Linked DNA regions of Caenorhabditis elegans. The protein of the gene in region 2 interacts with the protein of the main gene of each other region in a pairwise test. Each region holds a gene or a part of one and is shown on either strand. Other genes may lie near its edges.

Region 1 (5,121 bases), on a different chromosome or scaffold from region 2:
GCCATTATCTCCCTTTTTTCCATTTCACTCAAAAATTGCGTCACTAGCAATATAATCTGTGTATATGCGTTTTTCGACATATCTAGTGTTATGTTCGTCATAACGTGAATTTGTGTGTATGTGATCAACGGAGTTCACATGTTTGAGCGTCATAAATGAATCGTTAGTGAATTTCAGATTGATAAAGATATATCGAATAAAGATTAACTAAGTAGTGTTTAACTGGTTTTCATACTAAATTTCAGAAAAGAAAATAGGCATTTTTTATATATAATTTTCCGTTATTCAAAAAAAAATTAAAAGGAAGAATCGTTTTTCTATCAAGTAATTAATTGTTAAACGAACAATTTATAGGCCAATTTTTATTTCTACGCGGAAAAATGTCTGAAAAATTGACAATTAGTGTTCCAATTTAAATGGCAAAGAGTAAGAGCATCATAAAAATTTTTTTCACAATATTTTTTTTTGGAAATGATAGAAAATTCAGAACATTAAAAAAAACGGGTTTATTCGGAAAAAATGGCTCAAAAAAGCCGAACTTGATCTCTTTTTTAGTCATCATATTTCGCAATAAATGTCTTTCAGATTTCTGTTAGAAAATCGTAGTAGTTCTGAGAAGTGAGTCACGGTGAACTGAGAAAATTCTAAGAATTCCAGAATAAAAAAAACACCCCGAAGCTGATGACGGAGAGTAACAACAACAAAAAACATGTGCTTTAACAGAGAAAGCAGTCTTTTCTAGAAAGAGCGGAGTGTGTTCTTTGTAGGTCATTCAGGGGAGACAAGGACATTACGGTAGAGGAGATGGAAAATAAAGTAGTAGAAGGACTTGTGCACTTTGACAGGCAGCAACTGATTAAATTTGTAAAGACCGGCTAACAGAACTACACGTGAACTTTGAGATATTAAAAAGTAAACAAAAAGGGAAATGGTTCGAAAGTTTGTTAACAAATCAAGAAAATAGATTTTTACAAATATCATGATTCAAAAAAATTTTGTTGGGAATTTTGGTTTTTACAGAAAAATTTGAAACTATTGTTAAAATTAGTTTTTAGTTTTAAAAACCAGATTTTTGAGGCTTGAAAATTTTTCCCAATATTTTTTTTTATCTTTCAAAAATTTCATAAGTTAACTTTTAAAAAAAGGGAAATTGTTCCGTTCATTTTTTAATGTTTTTTTCCGGATTTTCGGTAATTATTTTTTAATTTTTTGTTTTCGTGAAAAAAAATCGGTCGACTCACCAACTAATTGCTGATGATGATGGTGAGCCTGCTGTTGCTGCTGCTGTTGAACCAAATTCTGAAGATGGTGGTGCAGAGCAAAGTGTGGTGGTTGTTGTATTACTGAAAAATTAAAAAAAACATTACTTTTTTATTGAAAAAAAAAACAATTTTCAACGTTTAAAACATTATTTAACAAACCGTCAGATCGTGGCACAACTGCTGAATAGTGTGGTTGTGCCGCTTGCGGCTGATGATGATTGTGATGGGTGGCGGCAGCGACGAGCTGGTACTGTACCGATGGGTGAAGCTGCTGGTGATGTTGATGGTGAGCGGCGACGGCGGCCAGCTGGTGTTCCGGTATTATTGGGATTGCTGAAACAATTCTTGATTAATTATTGAGTTTTTCGGAAAATCCTCTGAAATTGGCTAAAAATTAGACAATTTCATGTGAATTATATGAAGAGGTACTGAAAATTGTTGAAACTTTGTTTTTTTTAATGATAAATTTTACACATTTTTTAGCTAACAAAGCGAAGAAATTGAGCAGAAAAACAAAAATTCGAAACGAAAAAACAAAAACTTTTTTAGAATTTCTCCGATCGTGACGAGACCTACTGCAAGAGACAGTTTGGGCGCCTTTAAATCTTACAGTACTGAACTATTTGAAAATTCGTGTTTCGGGAGCAAACAATGGGGTTTGGAAATTTCGGTTAGAATGAACATTTTAAAATAAAAAATTTGTTTCAATTAAATATTAAAAAAAGATATCTTAGGCACGAAAATCGAGAAAATATTATAAAATGTATGATTTCTCGAATCGTGGTGGAACCCAGTACGAAACTAAAGGTATGCTCCTTTAAAGTTTACAGTACTTTTAATTAATTTTCATTTTTCGATCAATAATTCAACGGTTAGGTTTAAAAATTAATTATCCATTTTCCAAACTAGTTTAATTGTTTAAAAAGAAAATTTGTAGACAAATTGAACTGGATTATAAAAGCAAATCAACTCTAATTCTAATACAAAGATTAGCGAGCGTTATTTTTTTCACATGAATGAGCGAAAATCTCAATTTCTTAGCTTATTAAAAAAAACAATAGGGTCTCCCAACGAATTCCACAAAGTTCGTGGCGAGACACACATTTCCGGACATGTAAAACTCAATTTGTTTTAATTTTTCCACAAAAACACACCCTGACTGAGAATCTGTTGCTGTCGGGATATAAGTGCGGCGTGTGCAGCTGCAAGATCGTAGAGCTCTGTAGATGACGAACTACAGCCGGATGAACTGCTTGATCCTGGAATTTCTGGACTTGAAAAAAAGAAAGAAAAAAGAAAGAAGAAAAAAGAACATGAAAAAGTGAGGCGGAACTAGTGTTATTCATTCATGACGAGAGAGGACGCCTTCTTTTTTTTTTGTTTTTTTTCTAGAGAATTCTGAAAAAAAGGAGGAAATAGATGAAGAAGGAAATAAAAGTTGTTCTCCTCTCGGAAAACGAAATTGTGCCAAATTTATCAAGCCAACAAAAAAATTTCCAACAAAAAAACCAAAAATGGTTTAATAACGAAATTTTTCAATGTATTATTTTCAGGAGAACTGCCTATTTAAAATATTTTATGATTGACAAATTTAAGCAATACAGAGGCTCATAATGAACATTTTTTGTAAACATGTGAAAATTTACTCGGGGAAAAGGCACCCGCAGAATTCGTCCTCCGTGTCTTTCTGAGACGAGTAGAAGGAAAGTGAATCGTCATCATCTTCTTCTTGTTCTCGAGAAATATAGAGATAGTACGCATCCTTCCCCCTTCCCCACGACACCATCACCACCCAACACCGTCTTCCTCAATACGCGTCTACGATTCATCTCGGATCTGTAGGCGAGTGAGCGAGCGCGCACGCACCCCTCCACTGTGTGTGTGCTAACAGGACTGAGAAGAGAGACCTCACTACCTGTCGCCACCAGGCCCCCGGTACCATGTACGTTGAGGGTGATGACCCCGACCTCCCCAAGGACCGTCCCTCGGGATTTCGAAATTTTTTATTACTCTGTTACTTTTGGGGAACGGGAAAATAACAAGAACTTCTGATATGTTCTGATATGAGGATATGTGTGCGCCATGTGAAAAATTAGTTATATAAATTGCTAGCATATATCATTATGAAGACTAACTTCAGAATATCACATTAGAATTAGTAGTGGTTCAGACTTTTTCTGAATTCCCGGAAAAAGTGTCCGGGAATTGAGCAGAAAAGTACACATTTTCTAAAACGAGGCTCCTCGAAAGATAAGGACAACTAATTTGGAAACACCTTATTCTGGTACTTTTGGGGGCGGGGAGAGGACAAGGGAGTAAAGTAAAGCTGGAAAACAAGTGCTAGCATACAGAATAATGCGAAAAATTTACAATTTCATTGGCAAAAAATGAGGAAATGCAAATATCGAGGAAAATTATAAAAGTTCGTGGTGATTTGAAATAAAAAACCACTAAAGTACCAAAAAATTTGCCGTGGCAATATGGCAAAACTTTCAACAAAAAGCATACTGTATATATGAGAACGTTGACTACAGCTGATCGCGAGTAGCAAACTATGAGATGCACAAAGAGCAAGAGAGACGAGAGAGTGTGTGGCAAGGAAAACGGCCACCCAGCAGCAGCAGCAGTAGACAGACCCCCCCCCCCCCGCGAATTCGAATATTATGTAGCAGTGGTCACTTTCTATTCGAGATAGTCGGGCGAGACACAGAGAGCACGACGGCGTAGAGAGTGGTCAAGGGTGTGGAGACGCAGAGAGATACGGAACGCACTCTCATACATCTGACTGACCACTCAAACGGACGCAGAAGACCGAAAAGCTGCGAAGAAGAAGAAGCAGAGATGTGCTCCCCTAAGAACCAACTACTACTATTACTACGATGTACCCCATCCCCGTTTCATTTGGAATTTAAAATTTTCAACAGGGGTGTCTGTTGTTTGGCATGCTGACAGTTGGAGCAAGGATGTCGTTTTTGGCAACAAAAAATCGAAACTCTGATTCTCCAGAATGTTTGTTTTCTCAATTTGTGGTGCCCCTAATCGGAACTTTCTCTAAAAGCCGGGAATCTGATTCTCCAAGTTTTATGTTCGAAATTTCTGAGCCAAAACTCAAACAAAAAACTTGGGAAGTCTGAAATTTTGTAAAACTCGAAGAAAAAATCTAACAGATCCGGTTCTACAGATGTTGTAGTTCCTTTACATTGTGGGCTCTATCTACAAAATCTGATTTTTTGTTTTTTATGAAATATTTCATATGAAATGAAAATTTGATCCGAAAATAAGAAGGAAAATTAGCAAATTTGATTCTTAAAAATTTGCAACTCACTAGACTTCGTAAAGTTTCTAATTCCCAAATTTTTCTGACAAATTATCGAAAAATAACACTGGTGAATCTGACCCTTCGATTTTTTTATTTCTCTATTTTTGTAGGGCTACGATATAAAAACCAGTTTTTTTCCGAATTTTGATGAAAATTTGCTGTGAACTCTAACTTCATACTTACTAGTTCGAACGAATAAAATTCCTGGAATCCTAAAAAGCATCAGAAAAGACAAATCTTGAAAGTTTCCGAGTGAAATAAAAAGTTCGAAGAAAAGCCATAACACACACACACCCACATACATATATATCCAGAAGACGGCTATATATGTGGTTGTTGTTGTTATTGGGCACACACGAGACATAGCAAAAGCAAGCAAGCAAAAAAAAAATAGAACGCCGCCGACTGCTTTGACGACTACTATACAAGGACGCGGAAAAGCAACTGCGAAGAAGAAAGTGAAAAAAAACAAATAAAAATTACGAAAAAGTTAAAGGAAAGTGATAAAAAATTGAACATTTTCTATTGGAAACCCAACGA
Region 2 (4,908 bases):
GGGCTTTTGGTAAACGAGGAACACGTGGAGTAAACGAGCTGATATTAATAGAGACTTGCTGTAACCACATTCTGCCTTTTTCAGAAATTCAAACAACTTTCAAACAAAAATCGTCTGCAATACGGTAGTATTTTGACCACTCCTGCCTAAAAGGAGCCATTTTGTGGGCGTTTCACATACCCAAAAAACTATCTGTATTCGAACATATAAAACAAAATAAATCAGCAGAAGCGATTCAAACAAAATTTTTATTCGAGCTAGACGTTGCGATTTCTGGCATCTTGCTGGCACATCACTTGACCTTGCGAAGAGCTTTTCCCTCATGATCATGCCCGATTTCATGTGTTTGAGTTTGCTCGACAATTGAAACGCGACGAGCGCTTGGACCAGTAGACATAGCACTCTTTGCTGGAGGCTTCAATCCTGGAAGAGCTTGACGGTATTGAGACGCAATGCCCTTCACATCCTCGTTCATTTGCACAGATGGTGGCTGCATAAGATTGGTTGCCAATGCCTGCTTTGCCCATTGCTTGGCATCAATCGAATCGGGACGCTCGACGACGAAAGTGACTTTTCCCTTTTCTTGAATGTTCTTGACGAGAAGGTCTCTGGCAACATCCTTGTCACTGACTGGAATACCATCAACATCACACAAGTGATCTCCAAGAACGAGACACTTTTCGGCGAGTGATCCAGGATCAACACGGGAGACAAGCACACGATTCTGAAATAGATATATGAATTTCCTAGAATTTATTTGATTTGATTGATTTCTTACCTGGAAATGCTTGATTCCCAAACCAAGTTTTGGTCCATTTTGAACCCAAACAAGAGTTGCCAACTCATAGACGTATCCTTCACGGCGTTGAATGATCTTTGCACGATCTTCAGGAATATGAACACGAGCCTCCAACTCTTCGGCCTTCTTCTCATCGCGGTTCACCATAATTTTTGCACATGGAGCTGCAAAGCGAAGTGCACGGAAAAAGTCATTGCAATCTTTGCAGTTTTGCCCGTTGACTTTTTTGACTTGGTCACCAATCTATAAAACTTTTCATAGAATAATGGTTAAACTTTTGTAGAACTTACTCTCAACTTTCCTTCGGAAATAGTTCCAGCCTGGATTTTAGTGATGACAAGCTTGTCATTCGGAGTTGCACCAAGTGGTTCTCCTTCTTCCATATCGATACAGATCTCGATCATCTTCTCGGAACCCATGCTTCTGCTCCTTTGCTTCTTGGCTGCTTTGGCGATTCAAAAGACGATTGATTCAAGATTTCGGACGAAATATGAACAAAACTGACGAAATCTGGACCTTTTATGCTGAATTAATTAGGCCATAAAAAACAAGGCCCAAAGGTCATGTCACGTAATCACTTTTTCGTCTAAAAAACTCTATTTTAAAGTAAAAATATTATTTTTTGTTTCTAACAAAAAAAAATATAAAAAAATATTTTCAACTATCTGAACTTTCAAATAAAAAAAATCCGTCCCTACGAGTCTCTCATAAAAACATTGACCTCTACAAAATTTGAAATCATTAAATGTAAAAGGCAAAATCAACCTTGGAGCAATTTTACGAGCATTAAAAAATGTTTTCAACGAATTTTTTTGCTTAATTTTTCATTGTATTCTTAAACTTAAGGTGATCTGTGTGTTTTTTTTTAATGACTAATACTATCAAATGAAAGATCATAGTTAGTAACAAAATTCTCATTATTTTTTAAAAAGATCGGTAAAAACCTTTGAATTGCAATCCTAAAATTCTTGACTTTTTTATTTTTTATTTTCTTCATTTTTTCCTATCTTGTGATGTTACAATTACTGTAAAACTTTCTGATTTCAGAAGGTTCAAGGGAGGACCAATATCGTAAAATGGTGTCGCCACGCGCCGCGCGATTTCGTATGTGCGCCTTTAAGGTTACTGTAGAAAATTCTGTTCTGCAATTATTTTCACACTTTTGCTTTTTTATGAACTTTTTCACTATTTTTCGCGTTTAAAGTGTTCAACTTGTGATTTTTAATTTAAATAACTGTTGTTTAGTGTGAAAATTGTGTTTTTGTTGTAAAAAATTAAAGAAAACTCTCTGAAAAGTTGGATTCTTCCCGTTTTGAAACCATTTCTCTTGAATAAATATTCTTAAAACAAAAAATTCATTATTTATCTGCCAACGAAAATAATAAGAAATTTCAGCTTATCGGAAGTGGTACCAAAAAGATGAAAAAAAGAATGACGCGGAAATCTTTACGTGTTAACGTGAAACGTGGCGAACTTTGCAACGGCCCGCCCGACTCACGGTTTTATTCGGATTGCAAAGCAACGTCAAAATGTTCGGTGGAGACGTGAGCGCTGCTTCCGTGTTGCCGTCTCATCCGATTTCTGGATCATGTGATGGATTTCAAGCCGAAGGATCTGATCATCATCATTCCACGATGACTCCATTCCAAGAGAGTCAAAGGAATGTTTATCAAATTTTGTATGGAGTGAGTTTCAGCTACTTTTTCATAATTACATCGCTTTAATAATTCATATTTTTACAGCATCCGGCAAACGACGATTTTCCGCGCCCTATAACACCACTGCAGATCACAATTCCCGAAGGAGATGCGTCACCGACTGTGCCAGTTTCCTGTGGTGTCGTGAATGGAAAGATGCATCTCAACCTGTTCATGTGCCCTGGGATTCATCAGCCGTGTATTGAAGTGGGAAGTTCGTTATTTTATTTATTTCAGATAATTTAAAATGGGTCTCATAATATAATTATTTTCAGACGATCTTCTTTCTCCGAAGCAGTTCACAATCCGTGGCGACAAAGAGCGTCAGAAAGATTGGAAGGCGAGCATCCGTGTTGGAAGATCTTCGTTGAGGTGAGCATCAAGACAATAATCCCTTAAAATACTTCTGTTTCTCAAAACTTTATATTCTAGAACTCACATGGAAGCAATGACCATCGACTTCTACGAGCATATGAATCGATGCAGTGGAAAGTGTCAAAGCAGAAATTATGTGAATGCTCCATCTGAAGAGGTGCTTCAAGCTCGGAAGTCCAAGAGAACATCTGAAGCCGGACAACTTAAATATGAGATCGAAAATGAGATGGCTGGAAAAGAGGCGGATAATGATGATAATAGAAAGAGTACGACCGATAATTCTACAAAAGGATCTAGTTTTGACATGTTCTCTCAATATTTTTCATTAAAATTTAGGAATAATATTTGTTATGTCTAAAAATAACTTATATTTTAGTTGGAACAATCGGAAAAGTGCTCAAATATTGTCTCAAAGTTTGAGATTTGTGAGCATCTTTTCAACTATTCCAACTTAAATATAAGTTTTTTCAGATAAAGGAAACATTATTCTATATTGCTAGAACATTCTAAAACTAGCTCCTTTTGTATAACTACCAGTATTCTGGAAACATATCATTTTTCAGGCGCCAAAAAAGCTCGTGGACGTCCACGTGGAAGTGTCAACAAGCCCAGACAAATGGTCAAAATGGAGCCACAAGACGATCGTTTCTTCGAGGAGTTCTTCATTGATGCGCCACCACTGCAATCAATGTCATCTAATGAAGAGCCAACTTCTTCAAATAAGGAATCCAATGAGTGCACGCCATTCAATGATATTCTCAATTGTCTGCAGAACGGTAAGCTATTTGACATAACATTTATCACTAATTTATTTTTATTTCAGATCCTATGAATTTCTGGTCTCAAATGCAACAAACCGGTGTTATCGGTCATTTCTGCGACGACATCATTGTCAGTGCAATCAATCTGAAACAATCCGTTATGGATAATCCTGTCACTCCCACCACTGCCAACATGCTCACTCGTACTGCATTCGCTCTCGGAATTCCACCTGTCGTTGTTCATCGTGTTCAATCGATTGAACGAAACGCTTACCAACAGCGGAAACATGACGAAATGTTTAACGATATTCAATCAACTTTGGCCGAGGAGCACAGTGTCAAATATCAGCCGAGAACATCATCTTCAAGTCAAGAGAGTCTTCACACTGCTCGAGAATTTACAGAAGAGAAGGTTGAGGAACTTATTGATGTTTGCAAGTACGACGATTATCCAGAATCTGAATGTCTTCCAGGACCTAGTCATATTCAATAATTAAACAATTACGGATTTAATCCACAAACGCACAAATAGTGTGTGCATTTTTTCGTATGTATTTTAGAACTTCATGTTTTATAGAATATAATTAAATTCTGATCCAGTGGAATAGCCCACTGCTTACTTGTGAGCTTTCCCCCCTCAACATACCGGTGAAAATTGTTTGTAGTTCTTCTAGAATGTTTCATGCCTTTATAATGAAATCGTGTTCATTTGAAATTTCTATTCATGTTTTACAAACTCTTACTCGTCACAACGTAATACTGGAATATCTTTTAATTTATGTTTATTTTTTTTATATTCAATTTTCAACCTCATTCTTTTGGAATTAAGACGCCTTCATCAACAACATTATTGATTGCGTCGACTTGATTCCAAAAAATGAGTTTCACACGAATACTCATCAAAGTGTCATGGCAACAAAGAGATAGAGACGAAAATATATCATTGAGCAAACAACAAGCTTTCAGAAGGGCACAATCGGTTTTCAGATGAATAGAATTTGTGCTAATCATCTGCTAGCGGATTTTGTTCTTGAGAGAGATAATACTCCGCTCATAAGTAAACAATTGAGAATTAAATTCGCACAAAAGCATAAATCTTCATTCGCGAATATTTTTATTACTGTAGGGTCTCGCCACGAACAGATATTTTCTGTATGTGTCCCTTTAATTGAACTGTAGCTTTATCGATCGGTCGAAGGCATCAGAAAAACTTTCTTTTTAAATATATATTTACTTCATAACAATTTCAATCAATTTGTGAATTTTTTACATTCTC

Evidence for each region.
Region 1: the proteins of spe-44 (region 2) and lit-1 interact in binary tests that used the Caenorhabditis elegans proteins (3 or more experiments, as listed by UniProt).

What each region holds. Positions count from the first base shown.
Region 1 is NC_003281.10:13,711,972-13,717,092, reverse strand, and holds the start of lit-1 (Serine/threonine kinase NLK), read right to left. Parts: upstream 3,049-5,121; coding exon 2,909-3,048; intron 2,536-2,908; coding exon 2,417-2,535; intron 1,596-2,416; coding exon 1,422-1,595; intron 1,344-1,421; coding exon 1,242-1,343; intron 1-1,241. UniProt on the Caenorhabditis elegans protein: Has a role in the Wnt signaling pathway controlling the asymmetry of cell divisions during embryogenesis. Operates in the AB and EMS cell lineages influencing cell specification.
Region 2 is NC_003282.8:12,451,502-12,456,409, reverse strand, and holds spe-44 (Transcription regulator spe-44), read left to right. Parts: upstream 1-2,194; 5' UTR 2,195-2,328; coding exon 2,329-2,484; intron 2,485-2,541; coding exon 2,542-2,710; intron 2,711-2,771; coding exon 2,772-2,868; intron 2,869-2,928; coding exon 2,929-3,137; intron 3,138-3,434; coding exon 3,435-3,647; intron 3,648-3,694; coding exon 3,695-4,125; 3' UTR 4,126-4,347; downstream 4,348-4,908. Other genes in the region: smz-1 (PDZ domain-containing protein), read right to left, coding at 293-724, 779-1,042, 1,090-1,218. UniProt on the Caenorhabditis elegans protein: Transcription factor which controls spermatogenesis and sperm cell fate by regulation of sperm gene expression.